Linked DNA regions of Lonchura striata. The protein of the gene in region 2 purifies or fractionates together with the protein of the main gene of each other region. This does not show direct contact. Links are inferred from orthologs where the notes say so. Each region holds a gene or a part of one and is shown on either strand. Other genes may lie near its edges.

Region 1 (6,927 bases), on a different chromosome or scaffold from region 2:
TCTAAACCCACCTGGTCAGAGGAGGCAGGGCGCCGGCTGGGCGCCAGTGGGTGCTCCAGGTTGTAGACGAACATGACGAGGCCAATGAGGCAGCTGAGGCAGAGCACAATCTGCTGGCAGGGGAACACGGCGTAGCAGGAGCTGCGGGCGCCGTGGGGCCGTCAGACACGGGCGGTGGCTGGGGGCCCATCCCGGCTGCGGGGACCCCCAGTCCCAGCCCCACTCACAGCTTGGCCTCCCGCTCGCTGCGGGCGCAGAGGTAGCGCTGCACCTGCGCCTGGTTCACCCCGTACAGCGACAGCATCATGAAGATCCCGCCCACGGACAGCGACCAGAAGGTGTGACGTTCCAGGGGGCTGGGGTCCAGGCTGTGGGGAGGACCGGGGGGGCCATGGTGACGGGTCCTCACTGGCACCCCATGCCCCGTGGGAAAGAGGATAACAGGGATGGACCACACCACCGCTCCAGGGTCCCTCTCCCCCACCCCGGGCTGCCCCAGGTGTCCCCAGAGCAGGACAGAGGTGTCCCAGGAGGTGACTCACTCAATGCCGGCGATCTTGCCCTCCTGCTCAGCCACGCGCCAGACACGGGCCATGCCCCCCACCCGCCATGCGCCCACCACGATGACGGCAACCTGCCCCGCCAGCATCACCAGCGTCTGGAACACATCTGTCCAGATGACGGCCTTCAGGCCACCCTGATGGGGACACACGGTGCCCGTCACCACAGGATGACAGTGCTCACCCTGGCACGGCAGGGGCACAGGGCACCTGTGGCAGCAGGGACTCACCAGCGTGGTGTAGAGTGTGCAGACCAGCCCCATGGTCAGCACCGCGCTCCAGAGGTCAAAGCCTGTCACTGGAAGTGGTAGAGGACGTTAATGGGGTGAGGGGCGGCAGCCCCCGGGCACAGCCCCACACCTGCCCTCATCATACCTGCGTTGAGGGCCAGCGCGGGCGCGTAGAGCACCACCCCCATGTAGATGACCTGGGGGGAGGGAGAGCAGTGCTGAGCCACGCCCAACGCCCCAAACTCCGCAGCCCCCACAGCCCTGGCTCCACTCACCATTTGGAAGATGAAGGTGATGGTGCCGAAGACCCGCACTGTCTTGTTGAAGCGCAGCTCCAGGTACTGAGAGGAGAGAGGTCAGAGCACCCGACTGCAGGGTGCTCTGTGCTCCCCGCAGTCCCCTGCCCTGCCCGTGTCCCCTCTGCCTGCCCTGTGTCCCCTCTGCCCTCCCCGTGTCCCCCCTGCTCTCCCATGTCCCCTCTGCTCTCCCCGTGTCCCCTCTGTTCCCCCCACGTCCCCTCTGCTCACCTCATAGGTGCTGGTGATGTGCAGACGGTAGAAGACAGGGATGAAGATGTGCGCCGGGATGAGCAGCCCCAGGAAATAGGAGCAGCCGAGGAACCAGTACTCGGTGCCAAAGCGAAAGATCTCAGCTGGCACGCCCAGGATGGCCACAGCTGACTGGAAGGAGGCCAGCAGGGACAGGGCGACGGGCAGGCAGCCCATGTCACGGTTGGCTAGCAGGAACTCCTGCACCGTGCGCTGCCGGTCGCCGCTCAGGGCGTAGAACAGCCCGATGGCCGAGGACAGCACCAGCAGCAGCGCGAAGATGCTGTAGTCGATGGCCGTGAACTCCATGGTGAGCGCGTCCCTGCGCCGCCCTGCCGCTGCCAGCGCTGCCCAGCCGCCCCCGCCCCGCCGGCCTCATGGGCGCACCTGAGCCCGGCAGCGCGTCTGACCGGCACCGGCCAGGCCCTGGCAGCTGCGGGAGGGACGTGTCAGTGCTGCAGGGAACTTCGCTCACTCTGTCTCAACCTCAAGGACCCAGAGTGGGGAAAGCGGCCAGTCCCTCCTCCTCCTCCTCCTCCCTCTGGGCCGGGCTTGGCCCCCCCTGGGCCACCCCACCTGCCCCGCTGAAGGAAACTGGAGAGTCTTCAAAGAGCGCCAAGACAATGGCTGCAAAAACAGTCCCACCCTGGCCCCCCGCAGCACCGGCACCACCAGTCCCGGCAGAACTGGCCAAGCTCAACACAGCTGCCTCCGGTGCAGGACAACCCCAGTCCCACCTGAGCCAAACCCAACACAACCACCCCCGGAGCTGAACAGCCTTCAGCCCGCAGTGCTACTCCCACCTGAGCCAAACCCAACCTGGCCCAACCACCCCAGCATTGCACAGCCCCACCAAACCCGGCAGCACCGGTCCCACCAGCACCAAAGGCAACGCAGCCCAACCCCTCCAGCAGCCCACGGCCCTGCCAGAACTGCCCCCGGTGCACAGGAAGGGACAAAGGGGAGCTGGCAGCCTCAGGGTTCTGGGCACCAGCCAGGTGGAGCAGACACCTGAGCATCCACCGTCTCTGGCACCCTCACCCCACTGAGGGGATTGCCCAGAGCGCCCCGTGCTCTGCCCCTGCTCTGGCTCCTGTGGAACAGGAGGGGACAGACTGCTGCCCCTGCCTGCCCGCACACCCAGAGGACTGTGACTGCGGGCACCTGGGAGCAGCAGGTGCCACAGGGCTGTGGATACCCCTCTTTCAGGCCTGGGAGGGGGTGCAGGCTGCAGGGGACCCTCTGTTCCAGCAGGGCAGCGTTAGGGACACAGGGAGGACAAGTCTGGAGTGGGGGTGGCAGCCAGGGAGTGGCACAGTGCCCACCATGATCCCATCATGATCCCTGGAGGAATGCTTGCCTGGGAATGCTTGGTGGAATTAGGCTGAGCCCCTCCTGGCACCCCTGGCACAGCCTGCCTGGGCCTGCCTGCCACAGGGCCGGGGGCAGCTGAGCTGGCACGCGGTTCTGCAGCAGCGGCAGCGCCAGCAGCGTCTGGGTGGGGAATGGGGTGAGAGGGCAGTGTCTCGGCCGCTACCAGCCCTGGCCTGTCCCTGACCAGGACAGGCTCCACGTGCAGCAGCTCATGGCCAGGGTCCAAGGTCACTCCCCACATTCCCCCACGCAGACTAAACATGGGAGGTCACACCGCGTCCCCAGCGGGCACACCACAGCCCCAGCCTCCCAGACGGCCCTGGCCCAAGGCTCCCATGCCCCACAGACCCCTCGGCGCCCCCGAGGCTCTGCTGCCTCCAGCGCTGCTGTCCCCGCACCCCCATCACCTGCCGGTCACAAGCCCTGCTGGCCCGGTCACCCACGGAGGGCCTGCTGCCCCCTCGCCCAGACGGTCCCGGAATGTGCCCCACAGGACGCGGCGGTGCCAGCCCGAGGCTCGGCTCTCGCAGCCCTGGGTGTCCCGCGTCCCCGCGGGTGAGCCCGCTGCCCGTCCTGCCGCGCCCAGCCAGCCTCCCGCGGTGCCCCGCTCCTCACGCTCCATCTCGCCCTTCCTTGTCACCCGGTGACCGCGGGGACGCCGCTCCGGCCGCCGCTGCCCAGCGCTGTGCCCGGAGCCCTCATCCCGGGGCTCTCAGCGGCTCTACTCGCCATCCCCGGCGTCCGCGGTGTCCCTAACACAGGGCTCTGCTCCCCGTCCCCGACGTCCGCATCCCGGGGTTCTGCTCCCCGTCCCCACTGTCGCCAGAGCCCCCATCCCGGGAGCCGGCCCCCCGGCCCCCGCTGCCCGCAGAGCGCCCGGTGCCGGTGGCGGGCGGCGGCGGTGACCTTGCCCCGGCGGCCCCGGTGCAACACTCACCGGCGGCGGCAGCACTGGCCCCATGTGCCGCCGCAGCCGGGGCGCGCCGGGATGACGCCGCGGGCAGGCGGGGCCGCTCCCGCCGCCGCTTCCGCACGGCCGCCGCCGACGGCGTCAGCGCGGGCCCCGCGTGGGGCTCCCGGCCCGATCCCCGGCCCGATCCCCGCCCCATCCCGGCCCTCGGGCGGTCACCGCGCCCCGGTGCCCCCGCTGCGGGGGCCCCTCCGCGGTTTGGGTCCAGAGGGCGCCCGGGCCGGGCCGGGGTGGGGAGAACGGGCACGGAGCTGCCGCCGCCGCTCGGGGCTCCCCGCCGTGGCGCGGGGATGCTCGGGGCCGGCGGGGCCGTGGGCGCGTTCGCGCTGCTGCTGCCGCTGCTGCTGCCCCGGGCCGCCCGCGGGGCCGCGGTGAGCAACGGGGACCGGGGTCGGGGTCACGGAAACGAAGGGAGGGCAGGAAACTGGGGGGCTCCGGTGGGTACGGGATGCCACGGAGGTCAGGGAGTGCCCGGAACGGGGTTGGGGGGTCAGGGGGCGGTGAGTCCCCGGTCGGGGATGTCGTGAGGTCGGGGGTGCCCGGCTTGGAGGTGCCCGGGCGTCAGGGAAGCCGTGGGTTTCCCCGAGGCCGAGGAGGTTGTCCTTTAACGGGGAGCGGCGGTACCCGGGGCTCAGGTCAGCCCGGGGGTCGGGGACAGCCGGGGGTCGCGGGGGGCGGGAGATGGGGGTGCCCCTGTGCCGGCGCTGCCCATGGCCCTCCGACCTCCCCAGGTGTGCGGGCTCTGCCCGGGGCCGCCGCGGAACGGCTCCATCGTGGCCCGGTTCTGTCAGTCCCGGCACGACACCGAGAGCGACGGGCGCTGCTGCCGGGAGAGGGGCCCGACCCCAGGGCAGCTTCTGGGGTACGGGGGGCCCGGGGGAGAACGGGGATGCACAGGCTGGGGGTGAATCTGGGGTGCTGGGGGTCGGGGGCCATGTGATAGGGGTGCTCGGGGGATGGAGGGTGCCAGGATGGGTTTTTGGGTTCACAGGGGTGTCAGAGGAATGGCGGGGCTGGGGAATGCCTGGATGGAGCATCCTGGGTGGTGTTGGGGGGGAACCAGGTACAGACCAGGGCTGAGATGGGTGCTGGGGGTCACAAGAGCATCAGGGGAAAGTGTGGGGGACACACATGCTACTGTGTCCCCAACCACTGCTCCTTCCCAGGCTGGACCTGAGCAACTGCTCCCTGCACAGTGTTCCCCCGGGACTGGCCGAGGCCACCACTGCCATGGTCCTGTGAGTTCCCCTGGGCTCCCTCTGGCCCCTGCAAGGAGCTGGGGTGGGCTGGGAGAGTGGGTTGGGGCAGGTTTGGTGGGACATTCCCATGGGCCCAGGCCAGCACAGCCATACCCTGCTGGTCCCAGGGGCAGCGGCCACTCCCTGCCCTCGTGGCTGTCAGTCCACAGGGCCTGACCAAACAGAAACCACCCCTGTTTTCAAACAGGGAGCCCTGGGACCTGTCTGTGCCAGCAGCCTCACCCCTGTACCCAGCAGGAACATGGGACAAATCCTTCTGGAGCTCTGTCATGGTGCACATTGTCACAGGACAGCCCTCCAGTGGGGGCCCGTGCTGGCACGTGAGAGATGAGCCACATGGTCACATCTTGGCTTTTGGCACAGTCCTCATCCCCAGGCTGGAGAGACAGGAGCCAGGGAGGTGCCACGTCCAGGGCACTGGCAGGGCTCAGAGCTCAGTGTCCAAATGTAGCCCAGTGAGCCATGGTGGCCCTCAGGGCACCGTGACACCTCAGCTTGTCAGTGTTTTTGTTAATGACCAAGCGGTCCCTCACTGTGACACCTCAGCTCATCAGCGTTTCTGTTAATGACCAAGCGGTCCCTCACCGTGGCACCTCAGCTCATCAGCGTTTCTGTTAATGACCAAGCGGTCCCTCACCGTGACACCTCAGCTCATCAGTGTTTCTGTTAATGACCAAGCGGTCCCTCACCGTGACACCTCAGCTCATCAGTGTTTTTGTTAATGACCAAGCGGTCCCTCAGCAGCTCCGCAGAGACCTTTGAGCCCCAGCTGTAGGGCTGCACTGCCAGGGCCTCGGGTGGGCAGGGGGGGTTGTGGGTGCTTGCAAACCGCCTGAGCTCAGTGAGGCGCTGGGGGTACCCCGGTGCTCGCCAGGCCAGGGGTGCCGGATGGGACTAAAGTTCCGTGTGCTCGCAGGGACCTGACTGAGAACCCGCTGACAGCTCTCCCCAGTGGTTCCTTCCTGGGCTTCATCCGCCTGCAGAGCCTGTGAGTGCTGGGGGGAGTCAGGGGCTGGGGTCACTGCGGTGCTGGTGCTGAGCTCTGCCCCCAGCGCGGTGCCGCTGACGCTGCAGTGCCCAGGCGGGAGTGATGCCTGGCAGAACGTGACGGTGGACAGGAGCAGCCGGCTGTGCCAGGGACAGAGGAACCCCTGCAACAGCTCTGTGGAACTCGGTATGGTGGGGGACTGTGGCCCTGGCAGGGGTGCATGGGGCTGGCAGGGGCTGGCCTGGCCCCTGACCCCCTTCTCTGCTCTGCCAGCCTGGCTATGTCCTGAAAACTCAGTGTGTGCCCCTGACGGCCCCGGCCTCGTCCAGTGCCTCTGTGAGAGTCCCTTCCATGGCTACAAGTGCCTGCGTGAGGTGAGTGCCGGCAGGACTGAGCCTGTCTCTGGCTGGGCCCTGGCCGGAGTAGCAGGGACTGCAGGGAGCGGTGATGCTCACTCCTGGTCCCGGGCAGGGCCCATTCCCGATGCTTCTCTTTGGAGGAATCCTGGGCACTGTCACCGTGTCCCTGTCCCTGCTGCTGTGGGGCACCCAGCGAAGGAAGGCCAAGAGCCCCTGAGCAGGGCAGGGGGCTGTGCTTGGGCTGGAAGCTCTGCGGCCAGGAAGGCTCTCAGGATCAATAAAGCTGCAGGTCCTCAGTGTGTGTCTGTGTGGTTCCTTCCCAGGGAAAGGCTGGGTGTGTGGTGGAACCCACAGGAGGGGGGCATACAAATTCCCACTGTAACAGATACATGTCATAACATCGGTTTTTCGCAAATATTAAAATGGATTTATATATGTAGTGTTAAAGTAACTTTGCTAAAAAGATGTAGTTTTAACTTACGTTCTTAGTTAAGCTTAGACATGGTAGGGAAATAGCTGATATCAGTGTGCTTGTGTTAAAATGCCTGCTTGGATGGGATAACATCCAGTGAACACAGGATATGAGAACACCCATTACAGATCTGCCAACGATCAGCACTCACTGTCTGAAGGCAGTGT
Region 2 (7,715 bases):
ATCCATCCTTAAAACTCCCTTGAAAACCTACAGGGATACTCTCAAGCTGCCACTGGCCCATCACACAAGCTACAAACGGCTTTTGGTTAAAATCAGCACATCAAAAGCAAGATGAGTTTAGCAGGGAGGAATGAAAATAAGGTTCTTTCACTGGAAGCTTTTCTGCTCCCAGCAAGTCCATGTAGCAGGATGGAGATCAGTACTGGAAGCAATCCTGTCTATTACAAAGCAAGTGAAAGGCAGCTTTTCTCACCCCAGGAAGAAGTGTATTCTGCCTGCTACACCACCCCAAAGATGTCTCCATGTTTATCTGATGAGGAACTCAGGGTAGATGTGAAATCCTCTACTCTTTCACAAATGTTATTAAGCTCCTTGGGATGGGTGGCTACCTGCCTGACCTCAGGAGAGCTCCTAAATGAAAGTTTAGGCAGGAGCAGGTTAGTGCTGTTCAAGCATATATCAGACTTTTTACAGCTGCTGGCAGAAAGTGCTTAAAACCAGCAACACAGCTTAGAAGGGTCAGTGCAGAACTCTGGTGCAAATTTATCTTCTGACACAGCCAGAAAGACATGTAAGGAAATAATTAAAGGCAATAACTTTTGCAGTTCTCTTTGGTTAGGACAAGGGTTGGCAGCTTCCTGAGTCCTCTCTTGTCAAAGCAACCTGTGCTACCAACAGCAACAATGATCACTGAAAATACTCACAAGCCAAACTGCAAGGCAGAAATATCAAGAGAGATGGCTTGAGGCCACATAAAACACTTTCATCAACTGAACAAAACTGAATCAAACAGCCTCAGAAGAATGGTAATTTCCAAGTTCTCCTTAAAGTCTCTCTTCAACAGGAACACTGGGTCTTCTCCACACTTGGACTGGCAATCACTGGCCTGGAGTCAAGACTGAAGCTGTTTGGAGGGCTCTCCCCATGAAGCTGTAAGGTATTTCGGGCTATCAGCTCCTTAGCCATTAATGTGAACACCTCTTCTATGTTTTGAGCTTCTTTTGCTGATGTTTCCAGCACAGCTAAGAGCCCGTGCTTCTCTGCCAGGGTGCAGGCATCTTCAAACAGCACTTGGCGCTTGTCCAGCGAATCCGATTTGTTCCCTTAAAAGAAAGCAAAGAGATACTTCAACCACTTAGTCTTTCAAAAATTTATTTTTAAATGCAATGCAGGAATTCAATTTTGTTAAACAATAGTTTTATGTTAGCGGTAAGAGTTACTGGATAGAACAAGCTGTGAGTACATCAGAGCCACAGATACAGACTGCCTTAAAACTGCAGCAAATCATATGACAGCAAAAGAGATGAAATCCAAGAAAAAACTAACAACCTGTGTTCATCTGTTTACTTAGTGTAGGTGAAAGATTATTTGGAAGCAAGTGTTGGTCCTGTTCCCTTGTGGTTTTAAATGTTAAGTAGCCTTTAAGTTGAGGGCTTGTGTCCCACTAAACCCACCATCATACTGTTGTGTTCCTGCTGACCTTCTTCAGGTAAGTTGAATTTTGAAAAAAAAAAAAAAACCTTTTAGGGTGATGTAACAAGAAAGACAAAAATTCAGGTCAGCTGTCTTAATGCCTGAAATATATGCTTGTTTCTGCATGTATAGATTAAACTTTTACTTGCAGCACTTTAGTGAAAATCTATAATTAAACACCTCAGTTAAAACACCTTTGTATATTTAGGCAGTTGCAGCACATGTGGATTTATCAGTTTGAGGGCTATTTGCCTCCTTAAAAGGAACACACCCACCTTTTCCTCCTTCAGTTCCAGATAGGAAAGTTAGGTTTCCTAACCTTAACCTCCTGCTAGAAAGGTGTATAACATGACTAAGCATATTTAAATGTACAACGGCTTCTCCCAATGTAAGTAAAGCAAACAGCACCAGATCCGGAAGAAAACATCTAGCTGGATCCTTAGTAAAACCTTCACTTTTTACTGATTTCAGAACTTCTCTCTCTAAAAAAACAACCACCACCATCCCCCACCACACACAGATAAGTCTCTTTCTTTAGATTCATGATAGAAGTTAGAAAAAACCAGACAAAGTGCAGTGATTTACACCTCCCCTGCCCCAGTTCCAAGCACTGCATTAGGAGCAGGTCAGGATTTATCGTTTGCTTCTTCCAGAGGAAGGCCAGGAGAATTCTCGGCAGCACAAGCACGGAGGGTGCTGGGAGCAGAGGCAGCAGCTCAGGGGCCCTGCCTGGGGCCCAGCCCTGCCCCGGCTGCTGAGCTGCTCGCAGCACACTGCAACAGGTTCAGCCACGCCAATGGAAATAAAGGCAAGAAAGGCTCTGGCGTTTCACTGCAACAGTGCCCTCGTTTGCAGCTTCTTCCTTGGGGGAAGGAAGAGCAATAATAACCATGAAACCCAAGAGAAAGGAACCGTGGCTTCCTACCAGCTCCATTCCCGGCAATTCCCAGCCACTGCTTTCCTCAAAGAGGCAGTTTCCTGAGCGCTATTGGAATGCAAGCAGGCTACTCCAGGCTCTGCAAAAGCCATCTCCCCATCTATTGTCTTACCTGCGCGGAATCCCATTACAGAGCAGTGCGCATGCATATCAAGAGAGCAGAGAGGAAAGATGAGAACCACAGGAGTCTGTGCATCCCCCTTCACCTTGAATTATTGAGCTGCTACATTCCTCTGCAGCAGCCTACAGAGCCAGGCTTACTGCAGTTCTAACTCAACAAGGTGGTCCCTGCCTCCAGCCTGGCAGCAAAGCTTGTTGTGTTATTCCAGCAGGAAAGGAATAATGTAAAAGGGTTTTGCTGTCTGCAATGGGTTTTGGTCCTGTCAGGACCAGGCTATGACTTTCCTCATTTTTTTAAGCTTAGGTTGAATTGACACACTTGGTGATCTATTTTAATTAGAACTGAATTTTTGCATAGTATATAGATGCTTCAAGTAGTAGTGGTAGGAAACGAGGGAGATTTTATGTCCGTATTAAAAATCTACATAATACAATATTTAAAACTAAAATCCTACCAATTAACATCATGACCAAGTTTGCAGCACCATACTTTTCAATTTCATGAATCCAGTGAGGAATGGATTCAAATGTGGACCTCCTAGTAAGGTCATAGGCAAGGATGGCCCCATGGGCACTCCTGTAATAAGACTGGGTTATTGTCCGGAAGCGCTCTTGACCGGCTGTGTCCCACACTTGGATCTGTAAGAGAAAGGATGGAAGTTGTAAAGACCAGCGAACACCACTTTCCTAGGTGCTTGCCCTCAGCATTTGAAGCCTCTTGTCCAGAAGGCAGCCAGACCTGTCCCAGCTCACTCTACCAGACCAGTGTGGCTTTGCCCTCCCTAGATCCAAAAAGCCATTTACAAGCCTGAAGAGTCAATCTACACAGACCAAAGAGAAAGCTCTAAGGGTGAACCCAGCTTTGCAAAGAGGCCAAGAAACCCATTTTCAACAACTGTAGTAAAAGATACAGAACGTTACAGCCTGTTAATAGCAAAATAAGAGTAAAGAACCCTAATACAGGACTGGGCAGAGCAAATCTATACATAAAAGCCAGGCAATCCTAACTTTCATCTGCACACAGAGGGAAGTTCTAGCTGATAATTTCTTCTGGTGTTTGTCTTGGAAGTCTTCCCTCAAATTAAGCCCACATCAAAGTGGAGCCTTTGCAAACTTTGGGGGTTTTCCCTTCTTGGTGTCCCAGCTCAAACTGCCACATCTCTGGAGGGAAGAGACATCCCCTCCAAACTATAGCCGGCTTCCAAAGAACTCCCTGCAGGCAAAGCACAAGCCCTCTCCGCAGGTGATGCAGAGAAGTCACGAGAAGAAGTATGTACCCAAATCAGGGTGCCTGCTTCCCCCAGGATATCCTCCTGAGAGAAAGCTCCACTGGGAAGCACCCGTGGTTAGAAGGGCAGCCAGCTGCCCTCGGCAGGGCCGAGCAGGAGGTGCTGTGCGTCCTGGCACCTGCACAGGAAGGTGCTGCTCGCCAGGACGCTCGGGCTCGCTCCCTCACCGACCTTCACTCTCTTGCCGTCGATGTCCATGGAGCGCACGGTGAAGTCGACGCCGATGGTGTTCTGCTGCTTCTCGCTGTACTGCCCCGTCTTGAAGCGGTGCACCACGCACGTCTTCCCCACGTTGGAGTCGCCGATCAGGATGATCTTGAAGAGGTAGTCGAAGGCATCGTCCGCGCCCGTGCTGGTGAAGGGCATCGCGGCTGCCGGGCGGGCCTGCGGCCGGGCTGGGGAGGAGGATGAGGAGGAGGAGCCGCAGGCGCGGGGAAGGAGCCGCGTCCCAGACGCTCACCTGCCGGGACAGGTGGCGCCGCGCTGCCCCGCCCTGCCGCAGGGCCGCCGGGAGCTGTAGTCCGCCCTCTCCCCTCCCCTCCCCGCGCAGGGCCCCGGCGGCGGCGGCCGGACTACAGCTCCCGCCGTTCCGCGGGGCCGCCCGGAAGGGCCGCTGCTGCCGCCCGGAAGGGCCGCTGCTGCCGCCGGCTTCCTCCGGCCGCGCCGGGCGCCGCGGGGCTGGGCACGGCCGCGGAGCAGCGGAGCCGGGCCGGGCCCTGCGCTGCGCTGCCCGACCTTGCGCTGCCCTGCCCGGCCCTGCGCTGCCCTGCGCTGCCCGACCTTGCTTTGCCCGGCCCTGCCCTGCGCTGCCCGCTCGGCTCCGCTCCCGCCCCGCCCCGCCGAGGACGTGGCCCAGCGCCCGGAGGGAGCCGCGTCCTCCTCCTCGCCCCCTGCTCGGGCTGGGCGGCCGTGCCCGCGGCGGGAGCGCGGCCCGGGCCTCCCCGGCAGCCCGGAGCGTTCCCGGAGCGTTCCCGGAGCGTTCGGGTGCTCGGGGCAGCCGCTCGTCGTTCTTCCCGGAAAGCATCCGGCGGCGCACCCGCGGTGGCGCACGGTCTGCTTGTGCTGGCTGCCGAGGGTCCTCGGTGGGTTTGCGTTGTGCCGCTGTTCTCTCGGTTCGGAAAAATGGCATAGGGGTCTCTGGGGGGTGGACTGCGCCCCAGTCGGTTTGGGGTTGTTGGGGGTTTGGGTTGGGGTTTGATGGGGTTTTCTTTGATTTGTTTAAATTGCTGTTATTTTGAAGAAATAATAGTTTCGTTTGTTTTGCACTTTGGAATGTTAAGGCTGCCGGCTTTGGAGGGCAGTAGGGTAGCATTAAGGGTGTTTGTTTTGAACTTAAGGTGTCTTATTTTGCCTTTAAGTGAAAGGATAAGGAGAACTTAACAAATAAGGGTGAAAGCCTATCAAAAGCTTACTCAGAATACCAGCTGGCTGTAGGTAAATGGTGGTCAATAATTAGATGAGGCAGTCTAACATACTAAAAGCACTCCTTTTCCTTTCATAAAGACCTGTGCTTCACTGTCTTCAATTCTGTGGGTCATCCTTCTGACGAGCTTTTGCTCTTCCTCCACCACAAAGTTACTGTGGTGTTCTCACAATAATTAGAAGACTAACTTTTTTTCTGTGTCAGAAAGTATTCTAGAAAGAAGACCTGAGATTGAGAAGCTCTGGGGAACAGATTATTTCAATAGTAAATGCTTTTAAAAAAACAAAAAAAAACCCAAAAAAAAAACCAGGTGACTTTAAGGTCAAACCAGGTCTTAGCTTTAAAAGGACTCGGTATCTTGGACAAATAAGATCTGTATTTGCATATGTTGACATGAAGCAAGTAGTAAATCTTGTGCTTTGGGCTGCGGACTGATTACCCAAGGAAGGAACTTTTCCCCACAGCATTGCACAACTGGCAGTGTTTTGCTTTCCTCAGGACAGCTCTGTTATCTGCCTGGTGGGAGGGGAGGGAGAGCCAAGGAATCTCTTGTTTGACCAGCAGACTGGCTCACAGGCCTGTGAGGATCATGGAGCTGGGAAACTGGAGTGCCTTGGCTTCCCTTCTCAGTGCAGCTTGCATGGGGGACAGCCCTGAGCTGTATGGTTACTGCTGCACTGTGTGCTTCTTGTGTGGGTGCTGAGTCTTCCTTCACTGGTGCTGAGAAATGGTCTGGGACCTCAGGTGAAGGTGGTATCAAGACTGCTTGCAAAGTTGCCTTTTCAGGGCTAGTCTTGCCTTTTCACAGCTCCAGTTGTAGGCACTTTTTTCTCCTCTGTGTGAACCCAAGCAGTCTAGACACATGTCCTTACAAAGAGGCGCTGTGTGCCAGCTGGAGCAGTGGCAGTGTGGCTCAAGAGCTCCTGGGCTGTGTAGAGACAGATGGTGTCAGGTCTTGTACAGCCTCACTGCATTTGCCCTGGATGAGAATGGAGGTGTTCAGGTGTGACGTACGATAAATGTGACTCCAGTGTCTCAAAGCTGTCATAGCTGGGTCTGTGTTACTCAGAGAATGTCCATGCCACACTGTTTTTGGAGGTCAGATGTGTTGTCAGTTTCCACAATTGTTTGCATATCCAGCAGTAGCTGGATATTGCTGTTGGTCAGGCATGTCTCATCACTGAGAGAACAGGGGAGACTGCTTGCAGTGAAAGGTGTCTTGATGAAAGCTTTAAAAGGAGGAATAAAAAGTCTGTGTGAAATAAAGAGTTTCCAGCAGCAGAAATTTGGGTGAGAGACTGGACAATGACTTACTTTCTTCAGGTGAGGTTATGAAACTGAACTTGAAAAGACTTCTGTCAGATGTGCAAATAATTACAAGCAGCACCTGTGGATACAAAAGGACACACAGGCATCATATTCTATCTTATTTCAGTACTGATCTTTTGGGGGAACAGAGGTAGTGCTTTATTTTACCTCTGCTCAGCATTCAGAATGTTTGCAGTGTTGGCATGTCCTCTGAAATGTGTGGTGAGAGATTCATCCCCACACTGCCCAGTGGGGCCGTTTCCCAAAATCTGTTAGCAAACATCATCCCTCGGCCATGCTAGCTCAGCTGGGGCATTGGAATGGTGTGGCATGGAGCAGCATGAGGAAACTGTATGTCTGCGATGGCCTTCCCTCAGTATTGATAGTTTCTGGTTGTCTCAAGGTTGAGGCAGGTGTCACCCATGCCCTACAGGTAGGGACAGGAAAGTGTGACTTGTGTGCTGTACTAATGAGTTGGGGACTGATGGAACTGTAATGTCAGGCTTGAGAATAAACAGGAAAGGATTCCAGCTGTTGGATTTCAGCACTGTCCTCACAGCTACTTCCCTTTTTCCATCTAAGCAAGTCCACTCTTGGGTATATTCCTTCAACAACATCTTAGTGAGGCAGTCAGATCTCAAACCCTTCTCCAGCCATAGCCAAATTCTGCTCTTGTGGCTTCATCACCTGTCTGTGTCCAGCCAGGTAGCAGCAGAAAGCTCTTATTTGTGGTCACGCTCTAGTTACCATGTGTGTAAATGGTGCACAATGGTCTTTAATGGGAGATTGCTGGAAATTGGTAGATCCAGGGGATACTCCTTTGGTCCTGGGCACTGAAGAGGCATCTGCTAGGAGAGAACCAAAAACAAAGTGCCGCGGGGGTACTGGGAGAATAGGAATAACAAGATACCTTAAGCCATAGAAGTTACTGAGGAATGTACAAGTGATGAATGCGTGGTGGTGTGAAACAAGTTGGAAAGGCATGGCATGGAGTTCTTCCATCTGGATTCGAGCTGTCTGGGGAACAGAGCTGTACTTCATACATGTGTTTTAATTCAAATTGGTTTTCTTTTCTTCTCCCTTCCCATCTTCTTCTGTTTAGGGGGGCAGAAGAATGACTTAATCACCATCCAGCCCTTGTGGCCAAATCAGGAGCAGGGGTAGG

What was found.
Region 1: the proteins of SLC37A3 (region 2) and ATRAID purify together in Homo sapiens (affinity purification with mass spectrometry; 3 studies listed by BioGRID and IntAct, counting the BioPlex papers as one, with this or other methods). This does not show direct contact. The link is inferred for Lonchura striata from reciprocal best matches to the Homo sapiens genes SLC37A3 and ATRAID.

What each region holds. Positions count from the first base shown.
Region 1 is NC_134605.1:113,668,185-113,675,111, forward strand, and holds ATRAID (all-trans retinoic acid-induced differentiation factor), read left to right. Parts: upstream 1-3,927; 5' UTR 3,928-3,972; coding exon 3,973-4,053; intron 4,054-4,413; coding exon 4,414-4,544; intron 4,545-4,848; coding exon 4,849-4,920; intron 4,921-5,857; coding exon 5,858-5,929; intron 5,930-5,993; coding exon 5,994-6,115; intron 6,116-6,202; coding exon 6,203-6,303; intron 6,304-6,400; coding exon 6,401-6,505; 3' UTR 6,506-6,584; downstream 6,585-6,927. Other genes in the region: SLC5A6 (sodium-dependent multivitamin transporter), read right to left, coding at 12-141, 228-368, 543-697, 791-858, 936-987, 1,066-1,131, 1,318-1,647. UniProt on the Homo sapiens protein: Promotes osteoblast cell differentiation and terminal mineralization. Plays a role in inducing the cell cycle arrest via inhibiting CCND1 expression in all-trans-retinoic acid (ATRA) signal pathway.
Region 2 is NC_134607.1:15,379,852-15,387,566, reverse strand, and holds the start of SLC37A3 (sugar phosphate exchanger 3), read left to right. Parts: upstream 1-4,708; 5' UTR 4,709-4,901; intron 4,902-7,652; 5' UTR 7,653-7,715. Other genes in the region: RAB19 (ras-related protein Rab-19), read right to left, coding at 838-1,103, 2,986-3,169, 3,991-4,185. UniProt on the Homo sapiens protein: Unlike the other SLC37 members, lacks glucose-6-phosphate antiporter activity.